Coturnix japonica: one gene and its partners. The protein of the gene in region 1 interacts with the protein of each later gene in a biochemical or structural test. Links are inferred from orthologs where the notes say so. Each region holds a gene or a part of one and is shown on either strand. Other genes may lie near its edges. The genes, in order: SYK, ERBB4 and FLT3.

Region 1 (4,328 bases):
TTCCAGAGCAAACTGGGACAAAGCAAGAGGAAAGGCAGGGTAGTCCTCTCTGTTCAAATTAATACATACCACCATCAGCTAGTTACAAACCAAGTGATAGTGAAACCACACAAAATAATACTCTATTACATTTCTGCATTCTGGCTATTTAAGAATATTTCCTACATTTGAAGTTGTTCTGTTACCTGGTACAGAGAGGTGGCAGATACCTACGAGAACTTATAAGATGAAAACTGAAGCTCAATTGGTCTCAAAATATTTTTCCCTTTCTTTCCTTTCAACAAACTCATTTAAAGCAGTGGTCACTTAGTCATTGTGCACACAGAGACAGGAAATTCTGAACTAATTTTGGTTTTGGAATGTAAAGATAAAGCAACACAAAACTGTTTCCCTACAATAAAATGGTATTTTCTCCAAATTAGAAGTTAAGATGATCCTGCAAATGCTTGCAGTGTGATAAGTTTTCACTCTTATGACTGAACTACATTTCTCATGTTCACAAGATTATCTTGAGCTTTTAAAGAGAACACTGTGCTCAGACTGAAGTCGTGCACAGTCTTAGTGGCACAAGTATGTTCACCCCGATGCAGAAGATCACACAAGTACACCTCATCTTTAAATGCAAAATAAACAATTTTAAATAGCTGACTGGAATGATCTTTCTGTAATTGTTACTCACATGCAAAGATACACACTGAATTCCTTATAATTACAATACAAAATCATACATGTTCCCCTTTTCGGCCATTTTATCCTGGAGCTAAACATGTAACTGGTGTGCACAAAACAGGTATTGAACCACTGATCGAAGAGTCCATAAAGCTGAAAAATGGACATCACCATCTAGTACCTTTCTGCCATAAATACAGACACAAACACAATTGCTGACAGTCACAGTATTCTCACTAGGAATGTCAGCCAATTTACTGTGGGCTTTGTAGGGTTTTTTTGTTTGTTTGGTTGGTTTTTAGGGTTTTTTTTTTTTGTTTTTTTTTTTTTTGTTTTTTGTTTTTTGCTAAATATTGAGTAATGAAAAAGCATAAAGAAAGTAAAATGAATCAAAACTGATTATAAAAAAACAAACTTTGATTGCAATCCCATGAACTCTGAACACAACATATATTTCAGTAGTGACTTCTGCTCCTCATGTCTCTGTCATAACATACACACACACCCACACACAAAGATAAAAGTGTATGGTAACATGTCTATGTTATATTTTTTGTTATTAGGGTGCTTAAATCCAGCTTCTGGTTTTACCATCAGTGCTCTAAAATGCAGTTTAGTTTCCAGCGTAACCTGCTAGCTCCTACTAAAATTGAACTTCTGGTTTTGTCTTCCTGCAACTTCAGATCTAATTCTGCTCTTCTTTCAAAATGGACAAGTAGCACTGTTCACTGCTGATCTTATGGACTTAATACTTTCTAAAGGCAGAAAACCAAGAACACTTCAACAGTTTATCATGGGGTTTTGCAGTTATTTCATGTACATTTGAAATCTGAAGCAATTACTTACATTTTGGGGCACATTCGGTGATTCCAAACCTTTTAGTTCAAAGTCTTTGCCAAACTATAACATTTCTCCCCCACAGGAAAACTGTCAGAAATAAAGAGCATTCAAACTTCCTTATTTGTCTCTATCACTGAATGTTCAACAGAGGGATGAAAAAACAACACAGTTCCTCTAACTGGGCTGCCTCAACGTGTTCTGCTCTGCTTCAGCTCATGGCCTCTGAGCCTGTAGTAGCACCGAGCTTAAAAGACTGATAGTCACTTGAACCAGACAGCTGTGCCTGTGGATTAAGCTGCAGATTCAGCCCAAAGAATTGAGAATTCTAAATGTCTTTGGATAAAAAGAATATAAAAGAAGCCCAACTGAAAAGAACATCAAAAGAAGTTACAAGGAGTTCATTCCCTTAGATGGAATTGTTTTGTTTTGAAATGGAATTACTCTGTAATATTCCATGCATTCTGGCCAAATTGTGTCTCAATCACCTCTGGTGGGGTCGGCGTCACCCAACAAAAGCAGCATCCATCTCTTCCCAGGGTGGCATTACTACACCCACACCCAATGAACTCCAGCACAAACTGCACATAGTACAGAGCTACAGAAGAAAATACTGCCCAATACTGAAATGATCAGCAGCAAGTCAACCATTGCACCCTTAGTACCAACATTCAGCACTTCTAGCAATGCTCTGTGATTATTCTGACAGAAACAAAATCCAGATTTTTTATAAGAAAGAAGCTCTTTTTAAAGCCATTTTCCCAGGTGCCAAATCTTTTATATACTATGCACCATTCAGAAGCTGAACAGTTACTTTAGTGTAAATTTTACGCTGTTAAAAACTACTCCGCAACACATTCAAAACATGACTAAATCTATATATTTTCTGTATTTAAGTTCCATATTCTAGTTCCTCAAATGCCAGGCTACCGATGTTACTACAGAAGGACGGAACGTTCCAGCTTGCCTCAGCAGATTGGCACATTTACTCGCCGCTCTCCGGGTAAACCCCGGAGAAAAAAGGCGGCTGGCAGACCCCGGCCCACCCCGCTCGTTGTTGCCAGCATCCCCCCGGCCCGGCGTGGCCTCCACTCACCGCTACGGCGGCTCCTCCGCTCGCCGCCTACTGCCGCCCACCGGCTCCTCCTGGGAGCGAGCCGAGCGGCGCGGCTCAGCCGAGAGCTGTGCCCGAGTTATGCGTTGCGAGAGCCGCCGCTTCCTCGTTTTCTCTCTCAGCCGAGGCCACTTCCTCAACGAACTGTCGGCCCCCTGCTCCCTCCCTCGGGCGATTCCGGCCCCCGGCCTGTCAGAACGTTTGTCCATGAGGGTGTGCGGTGTGCGACCCGCGGCGCCCCGACGTGCGTGTTGTGGTGCCCGATGGTGTGAGGTGAACGTGGGAAAGCAGAGGGACGCAAGAGTGGTCGTCTCTTGGGAGAAAATGAATAGACCCGCTGATTGTCAGCATTGAAATGTAATGTATTTTGGTACTTTTGTGTTTTGGTGAGAAAATTGCTTCTGGAGGAGCAAAAACGGTTTGTATTTGAAACAACATAGGATCTTTGTGCTGCATATGGTATTTACTCATTTTGTAGCCGCTGCTAGTATGGAAGAGACAACACCTGGTGTGGAAGAGAGCTGAAGAGGACCCCGTCCCTAAGGCTCCATGTACGAGGGAGTCAATTCCACTACAGATGTCTGCACATGCAACAGACGGCAACAAGCTTCTCCAGGATGCGCTGCCACTGGCATTGAATGGCACCTCAGGTGCACCTGCAGCCATGCTTCTCCTTCAGGCATGGCCACTGCATGGTGGTGTTGTGTGCCATGATGAGCAGCACTAACGTGAGGCGAGGTCTGTTTCCTGCTCCCTTGTATTAAGTGATTGCTGCAGTGAGTGGGCCTGCTTATTGTATAAGAAAGAGGTGCTGCAAGGAAGCACTGGCTCTCCTTCCACATCCATTATACTAAACAGAGCTGCCAAAGGGCAAAAGCCTCATGTTTCATACCGGTTGAAAAGGGCCTTTCTTTTGGTCTGATTGCCAAAGTGCAGATACATTTCTGAATTGGCACTACCTGTGTGTTAAGAAAACTTGATTCTTGGAGGGCCTTTGATGGCATAAGTCTTTCCTAACACCATCCAAAGGCACAGTCTACAGGAAATGGCTTTTGGAAAGTCATTACTGTGCTATGAACAAGATTTTAAGCAGAAGTTTCTTCTTAAATTGGTGAAAAAAAAAAAAAATGTTTCATGACTTTTAATTATATGTGAGCAAGAGTACTTGACCTGGTAAGGGTAGAGTTAACTTTCCGCAGCAGCTGATATGGTGCCTATCTGGGATTTTGAGTAATAGCGTATGAGTAATGCATTTTCTTTGCTGCTGGGCACTGCTGCTCAGTGGTGAGGTTTCCTGTGTTTTGCACTCTGCCCCAGTCCTCGCCAAGTAAGCAAGTAATGGACAAGATGGAAGGGGACACTGATGGAACCAGCTCTGTACCACAGCAAGAATCAGCGTGGGGATAGATGGAAAAGGGCAGGGGCTAGTGCTGTTTTCCTGCTCACAGACCAGCTGAGTATCACTCATCTTATGGAGGTGAGCAGATGGTTGAGAGAACTGGAAGGTGCAAAGCAAGAAAACGTGCATTGAGATAGGAACAAGTGAGGGAAGGGGGAAGATCGTATCAATGTAGCCACTCACCTCATGGAGGAGATGATAGGATCTTCCCCCTTCTCATGTTCCTATCTTAATGCATATTTTCTTGCTTTGCCCCTTCCAGCTCCCTCCACCATCTCCTGTGCAGGGGAAAATTATCAAGTGGCTGTG
Region 2 (3,649 bases), on another chromosome or scaffold:
GCTCCACAGTTGCTCCATCCAGAAAGCTCAACAGGAATCTTAGTTAGCCCTCGGGGATGGCTTTTGTGCAGAGAGGCTTAACTTCTAAGACAGCTTCATTTCTAATAGAACAATTTGCCTGATTAAAAAGCTTCCATCCTTGAAGGGCAAAGGGCCTTGAAGCATTATGAAAAATAATTCAAGTGAGTCCTGGAAAGGGTACAGTAGAGTCTTAACATTAGCTCCAGAACAGTTGGCACAGGTTGTGGTGTCTTCAAAACATTTGCTGCGGGCTAACACCACAAAAAGATGTGGTTCAGTTGCAGAAAGGTTTGAAGGTACACAGGAAGTGAGATAGGAGGATGGGAAGGGAAGATAAGCAGGGACACTGTCTGCCTTAGCTTACAAGTGCACTTGTCCCACAACCCCCTCTGTTTCCACTACGTATTAACAGTCTTCCAAATCCTGTAGCAAACTCAGTAGTTATTTGGCATTTACATCTGATTTGATTAATTTCTTTAAAGCCAATGCAAATGTTTGAAAGCAAATGACTAATGACACATCCCCTCACAGCAAAACAGTGCTGCTGCTATTTAAAAAGAAAGGAGAGAACGAAGGCCAAGTGGGAAGCATGGCACTGAGCTGGCAGTAACACAGGCACACTCCACCTCACGGTGATGGTTCCTCCAAAGCACACGGCATTCTTTCCGTCCCAAACTTCTCTTGGGCGTAAAATGCCAACTATGTGCATCGGTTCTGTGGTATGTTCAACCTGACATTTTACCAACCACGATGCTGTGACGATAAAGCAGATCAATAAACAAAGCCAAGTGGAGACCATGGCTGGACAAAGAAAGATTACTGGAAAAAGTATAAATATTTGTTCTTGGATAATGAGGGGGGTTTGTTGGTTTCTTATTTTTGCTTTGTCTTTTTCATTCCTCTCTCTTTTCCCTTCCAGCATCAAAAAATGAAAGGGGAAATACCAAACCTGACATTATAGTACAGTCAGCTTTCTTAAGTAGAATGTTAAGCAAAGAAAAGAGAATCCCCCCCAGCAAAGAAATGTTAATCAAGTCAGAATATTTCAGTCCTGCTGGGTTAGCAGATAAAACCCTTTCAGGTGTAAAGCTGCCGATGTAGACAAATAGAGAAGGCAGTGACTGGGAACTTCCCTGGAAGGACCAACTGTTACCTGTTTTGGGTTTGTCTCGCATTGGCGTCATATAGCCATCCTCATCCAGCTCTCCCCGAATCACCCGCTCTGGTATGAAGACCGTGGGATCAGCGCTGTACCTCTGGGTGCTGCTGTCCTCCTTTGCCAGCGTGGCCACCTGCTTCCGCAGTGTGCCGTTGCAGCAGGTGTCTTCAAAGATCTCTGCCGTTGCCCCTTGAGCAACTGGGGCTTCTGGGATGATGCAGCCAGGAGCTCTGTATGGCATCGGCACTCCCTGCTCTGCAGCATAGCCGCCATCTCTGTACACAAACTGGTTCTGTTGAGAAAGAGAAGGCAGCTTAGAAAGAACGCTCTCTAAAGGGAAGCAACATTGTACTACAAGGCATGCCCTTGGCTCTCCCGCCACAGCTGCTGAATGATGCATTTCACAGGGCAGGAGAATCCTCATCCATCCTGCAGGCTGCCACATTTCCAGTGCTGAGGGTCTAGCAAAGCATCTGCCTGCCCGGTGCTGCTGAGCAGGTCCCTTCCCTGGGAGGAGCATCAGGGCAGGGAGGGCTGCAGGGAGACTGGATGGCAATGAGGCTAGAAATGGGGTACAGAACTTGTCTCCTACGCAGATGTGGAAGTTGGAGATTCACAGTGGCAAAAGGCAAGCAAACCCAGTTTCTCTTTTTCTTAATAGAAAACCTCCCGTGATTTCTGAACAAAACCCTTAAACCTTATGCTAGGTCAACTTGGTTTGCTCCCAGGGGGGCTGCTCACAGGGTGTCTGGTAGCACTGACCACAAAGCCACCCAGACACTGTGCAGCTCCACCAGGCTGTGAGCAAGGCTCTCGCCAACACCTCAACAGTTCAACTCAACCTACCATTCTGCTTCTCAGCAAGGGCGTGCAAGGAAATTTCGACATCGTGACCTATAAATGGGAAGGAAAAATGGACAGATTCATCCAAGCCTGTTTCCTAAATACTTTTCAAAGAAATATCGGCAGTGATTTTGCATGTGGATCCCTTGAGCTCAGAGATGAATCCAAGCTGAGCTTAGAGATCCCCGAGTTATACATACACAAACTGCATTCAGTGTTGGGTTTTGAGACATTATAGGAATAAGGGAGGGAAAACAGAAAACAAGCAGTGAAGGAAGGAGGAAAACCTAAAGAATGAAGGTTGAATGTGAAATACTTACTCCTGACATAGGGGTGTAGGCAGGAGGAGGGCTGTGTCCAATTTCACTCTAATGAGAAAGAAAAATGGAATGATGGATACGTACTTAGAGGTCACAGGGTGAAACAAGTTGCATGAGCTCTATGAACTGATGGGGAGAAACATGCTCATCAGATTTCCTCAGCGAATCCAAACTGCAAAGATGTGTTTCACTGATGTGAAAAAGCTGTGTGCCTGCTTGCCTGCCTGCCCTGGGGAAGGTGGCCAGGTTCCCTCGCTGGGTAGGGGCGAGTTGTGGAGGTTGTACAGCAATCCCTCCATAAAGACACATTCATTTATTCTGATACCATTGGCACACCAGTTGCTCTTGTATTACTCCGTGCTGCTCAAAACTGACCTATTTCTCAATGAGAAAATGCTGATCTTCTGGGAAGGAAAATAAAGCCGAGAAACACAATCACGTATTTTTCTACTGCTAAAACGGTACATTTCAGATTTCTAGATCTGTTCTTCATAACTACTGTGCTTCCCAATTTGTTTCACAAACCTCCCTCTGTTTCCCTTACCTCCCAGTTCAGGGAGAGAAAAAGTCAGGATATTAAAAAAAAAAAAAAAAAAAAGGCTGAACTTGAGACAAGTGAGGAAAAAATCCCACATCCTTGGGTAAGAAGCCTGACCACGGCGAGAATGCTTCTCTTTAAGAGATGCCTGCTTTATTACAATCTCTTGCAGAAACGTATCGGTACTAACAGCTACACTCTAAGTACAATCAGAAAAGATGCACGTTGTCACACCACAGGGATGGGACGCACCACAGTCAGTTTGTGCCTTTTGCCAATACGTCACTAAGACGAGCCTTTATAAAGAGAGGCTTTTGGTTGAAGTTCAGTATCTGCATCGGGGAAAACATTCACGATGAATGTGGAAAGCCCAGTTTGGTGTTCATGAATGGGCTCGATTTGTTGATATAAATATTCCCACGGCCATTTTGTAACTCAAATCTAACACCTTTTGTCTAAGGTGTAAACATGGTGGACAAGACAAGCCCTAGTTAAGAACAAGCTTTTCTGCACTGCCATTCAAATTCATCTGTATTTAGCCAAGCGATAACCTTCTAACAAAAGGCTCCAGGTTGCAAAATACAAAAGTGCAGAAAAAACTCTGTTAGCTGAATGTCCTTCTGGACCAGCTGTCTGCAAAGCCTCGACAGGAGTCCCTCCGTGCACATCTCTTCACCAGGGCAATGAGCAGCTGGAAGGCTCAAGAAATAGGTTACTTACATTCCTGTGGTGCCACAGAGTATTCAAGACAAATGTCCTCAGCCAGAA
Region 3 (3,649 bases), on another chromosome or scaffold:
TGGCTTTTAGATTAACATGTTGCCTAAGTAGGATGAATTTTCCTTTGGTATATTTGAGATTTTTTGAATGTTCAGGCCTTGGGTAGCTCGGTGTTAGGAGAATGGTTCACTTCAGTGCCTGAGAAGCAGAAGACAAACCAGCCAGTAACAAAGCAGCAGTTGTCTCTGGAGCTTCAGGTTTCCCTTCCTACCACCACAGCTGCAGCATGTCTCTTGTGAGGCATTTTGCCAGCTCTGTCATAATGGGTTGTTCATGATCTCTTTGCACACTGTTCACACTTCATGCAAAAGTTTTCATTCTGCTACTAGTTCCACAGGTAACTGAACTAGAATTCTTTTGCAAATTTTCTTTTCCCTAAATAGTTTAGCAAACTGAAATGGCCATTTGTCAGTCATTCCCTTGCCAGAAAATGAAATAGATTTTTCTCTTTTGTTCTGTGTCTTGGGTGAGAATGTCACCTCCAAGAGACTTGCAATTGTTTGGTTGCTTCCTATCAGACCCAGGTCAGACCTGATGCAAACTTTCTATTTGCTTTTTTTCTGTGTTGCAGCAATGAGCCCCTGAAGGGACTGTGCTTGCAGATGAAGTAAGAGACTCCATACCAGGCAGATGCAGATGGAGGATGTGGTGAGGAGACCGAGGTTATGGCTACAACTTTCCAAAACTCAGGATGGAGTCATAATAGAACAATTCTATATCACAGTAGTTAAGACCGTAGTAGTTGAGTAGTTGAGCTGGTGGTCTTCAGACTGTGGCCAAACTCATATACAGAGCACTAATACCTAAACACCGGGACAGGTCATGCTCGTAATACTCTTTGCCAGCTCCAGAAATGGTGTGTTCTGAAAGGCTTTTCTTCTAGTTGTATGCTCTGTATCTGCCTTACTCTGACTTGGTAGCATAAAAGTTCCTATGCCCAGAAGCCCCGGGGGCAAAGCTGCCAGTAGCTTAGTGTCCCCACAAAAAGCTGCCATGGCTTTCTGTCACACTGGTTTGGAGTCTCCTACAACATCATGAGTTGACCCTCAGCCTGTGCATAAAGAAATAACCACGAAACTTCCCAACAGTGCCTGTTCATTTCACCTCTAAAAGTGCTGTCTTTTAATGAGAGTTATTTGGAAAGCAATTTGGAAAGAAAAAAGTATGTTATCGTCAGGGTCCTGAATGACTCAGTTCAGATTAATCTCTTGGCTCTCCTAATCTGTTGCTAAGTGTAAACAGGATTTGTTCTTAGAAATCACCAGGAACATGTGTTACACACCTGCAAGCAAGGAACTACTATACTGAAAACAAAGCAAAACAGCCAGCCCAGGGACAAAATTAACACTGGGGTTAGCATTACCTAAAACAGTAACCAAAGCAGTTTGATTTGGATGAGCTGTAGAAGAGCAGGTATAACGTCCGCTGTCTCCTTTTCTCGCTGCTGAAGTAAACATGTACTGGATCCGAATGGCTGAGCGGTCTGTTTGGTACTCCAACCCCTCAAACCGGTGCTTCTGGATGTCAACAGAGATTTCCTTTTAATCAGTTGATGGTGCCTAGTATTGCTTGTTTTAAAACATACCGGTTTCTTACCTGCTGTGCTTCTTTGTTTTCAGAAGATAAATTGATTCTGAATTTGTAATTCTGATAAGCAGCTCTGCATCTGATCAGCAGTGGCTCCCCAATTTTGAGAAATAACTCAGCTGAAGGTGCTGCTGGTCTTTGACTTAAATCTACAAAACGAAGCATGGTCACAAAACAATGGCTATGATTCTGCCTAGAAAAACACTCATTTAAATCTATATTTGTTCTTCTAATGCTGCATAGACATCCATTATCATATTAGAATGATCATTAGAATTTGAGAAAATTACTCATTAACCATGAAATCAGGAAATCTGGTAGATTAGATATCTCAAACCAAATGCTTGTCATGATCTACAAGCTGTATATATATAGCATGGTTCAGCATGGCGTTTAGCACAAGTCAGGCTTATTAAAAAAAAAAACAAAAGACTAACAAACAAAAATTTTATGCTTTAAGGATATTTTGAAGCACATCCACAACAACAGAGCCTTAAAAGCATGCAGAAATGGATGATAGCTCTTTAGAAAAGGCAAGAGGCTGTTTACAGAGACCACAAAATAGCTGTAATGATTTAGGATTAAATACAAGACAGAGCAATTGCATTCACTGATAGATTTGTTCCAGTGGTTACAAACAACTTAGTCCAGAAAGTGAATTCAGGCAAGCTGTGCAACCAACTCCAGCAGCAGGATCCAGCTCACACATACAAAAACCCTCTGGGAAAGTTACCTATAGTGAAGAGACTGGAGCATTCTCTGCCCAGGTCATTAGCTGCACAGCACCATATGTAAGTTTCAAACAATTCACTCTGATATAATTCATATTGTACCTTCTGTATGCCATCTATTTCTCCATTTTCTTCATGCATTTTATTAAGGCAGCTGTAATTACAAGCACAATTATTCACTGACTTATTTGGTTAACCTCAAGCGAATAAATCTGATAAATCTCCAAGCCATGAGAATATGCAAACAATGGTGGGAAAATTTGATCTTACACAGCAAAATAAAAGGAACTAGGAAAGGCAAAGATAAGAAAATAAAAATGTCACAGCCTAGGCATAAGAATGATCTGAAATCCCCCAAATACTCTGAAAATGGTGCATGAATGGGTAATTCAATAGCTAAACAGAGAAATCATATAGGTTGGGCTTTCACATCACATCCCTGTATTCATGATGATGGAAACTGCTGTAAATCCAGCAGAAATGAAATCCCAGATCCCACATTGCCACACAGCAGAGAAAGGTATTCCCTATGGCCAGGGTACGAGACACACTGAGGTCTGTTTGCTTTGAGCTTATGTGCTGCTTACTTGAGCACATTCATACAGTTGAGGAATCAATCAAATATGTTAATAGAATGAGAAAAAATCATCTAGATAGGAAATGATACGATCCCTTATGACTTCTTCCCAGCTTTAATGCAAGCATATTTCTTTTTAAAGTGAAAAAAAACTAGAGGGAAAGGAGATACTTTAGATTTGTTCTGGTAACATTAAGATGCCAAAATCTGGAACAACATTTCCAAGCCAAGTGCTGGAGGTTTCCAAAAGAGTGCAACAGCCAACATTTCTACGAAATATGTGCTCCAAAGTTCCAACAGTGAGTCATGCAGACACATGGGTGTGCAGCTCTGCAAACATGAACCAAAGTTCTTCTTCATTCTACAGCCAACTCTCCAGGCAGACCCAGCAGAACAAAGCTTCTCCTTTCCTCATCAGAAATTGGTAAGCTCTCAGTCTAGAGGTTCATTATACATAAAAACCTGTGTCATACCTCTTTCCACGTGCTTTGCAAAATGTCCACTTCACAGAGGGCTGGGGGTAGCTCTCTGATACGCACTCTATTACACCCAGTTTTTCAGATATCCTGAAATAGGGTTTGCCCGGTTTACCTGTTAAAAATCATGCAACGGTTTAAAAATGCTGAAATAATTATTATCGAGCAGACATTGCCTTGCTTATCTCACAGTACATGAAGTCACAGAGATGAAACTTACTCCGTGAGGTTTCACTGCTGGGGGAGAATGAAATGATTCAACCCTGAGCATATGGAGGGTTGGTCTCAGGGGCTTTTC

Evidence for each region.
Region 2: the proteins of SYK (region 1) and ERBB4 form a complex in vitro, tested with the Homo sapiens proteins (2 studies listed by BioGRID and IntAct, with this or other methods). The link is inferred for Coturnix japonica from reciprocal best matches to the Homo sapiens genes SYK and ERBB4.
Region 3: of the proteins of SYK (region 1) and FLT3, one has a biochemical effect on the other in vitro, tested with the Homo sapiens proteins (2 studies listed by IntAct, with this or other methods). The link is inferred for Coturnix japonica from reciprocal best matches to the Homo sapiens genes SYK and FLT3.

Annotation. Positions count from the first base shown.
Region 1 is NC_029547.1:39,246,754-39,251,081, reverse strand, and holds the start of SYK (tyrosine-protein kinase SYK), read right to left. Parts: upstream 2,897-4,328; 5' UTR 2,603-2,896; intron 2,560-2,602; exon of another isoform or gene 1,516-2,559; intron 1-1,515. UniProt on the Homo sapiens protein: Non-receptor tyrosine kinase which mediates signal transduction downstream of a variety of transmembrane receptors including classical immunoreceptors like the B-cell receptor (BCR).
Region 2 is NC_029522.1:7,035,300-7,038,948, forward strand, and holds part of ERBB4 (receptor tyrosine-protein kinase erbB-4), read right to left. Parts: intron 2,392-3,649; coding exon 2,344-2,391; intron 2,075-2,343; coding exon 2,027-2,074; intron 1,473-2,026; coding exon 1,175-1,472; intron 1-1,174. UniProt on the Homo sapiens protein: Tyrosine-protein kinase that plays an essential role as cell surface receptor for neuregulins and EGF family members and regulates development of the heart, the central nervous system and the mammary gland, gene transcription, cell proliferation, differentiation, migration and apoptosis.
Region 3 is NC_029516.1:157,441,260-157,444,908, reverse strand, and holds part of FLT3 (receptor-type tyrosine-protein kinase FLT3), read right to left. Parts: intron 3,467-3,649; coding exon 3,349-3,466; intron 2,453-3,348; coding exon 2,301-2,452; intron 1,717-2,300; coding exon 1,577-1,716; intron 1,498-1,576; coding exon 1,344-1,497; intron 1-1,343. UniProt on the Homo sapiens protein: Tyrosine-protein kinase that acts as a cell-surface receptor for the cytokine FLT3LG and regulates differentiation, proliferation and survival of hematopoietic progenitor cells and of dendritic cells.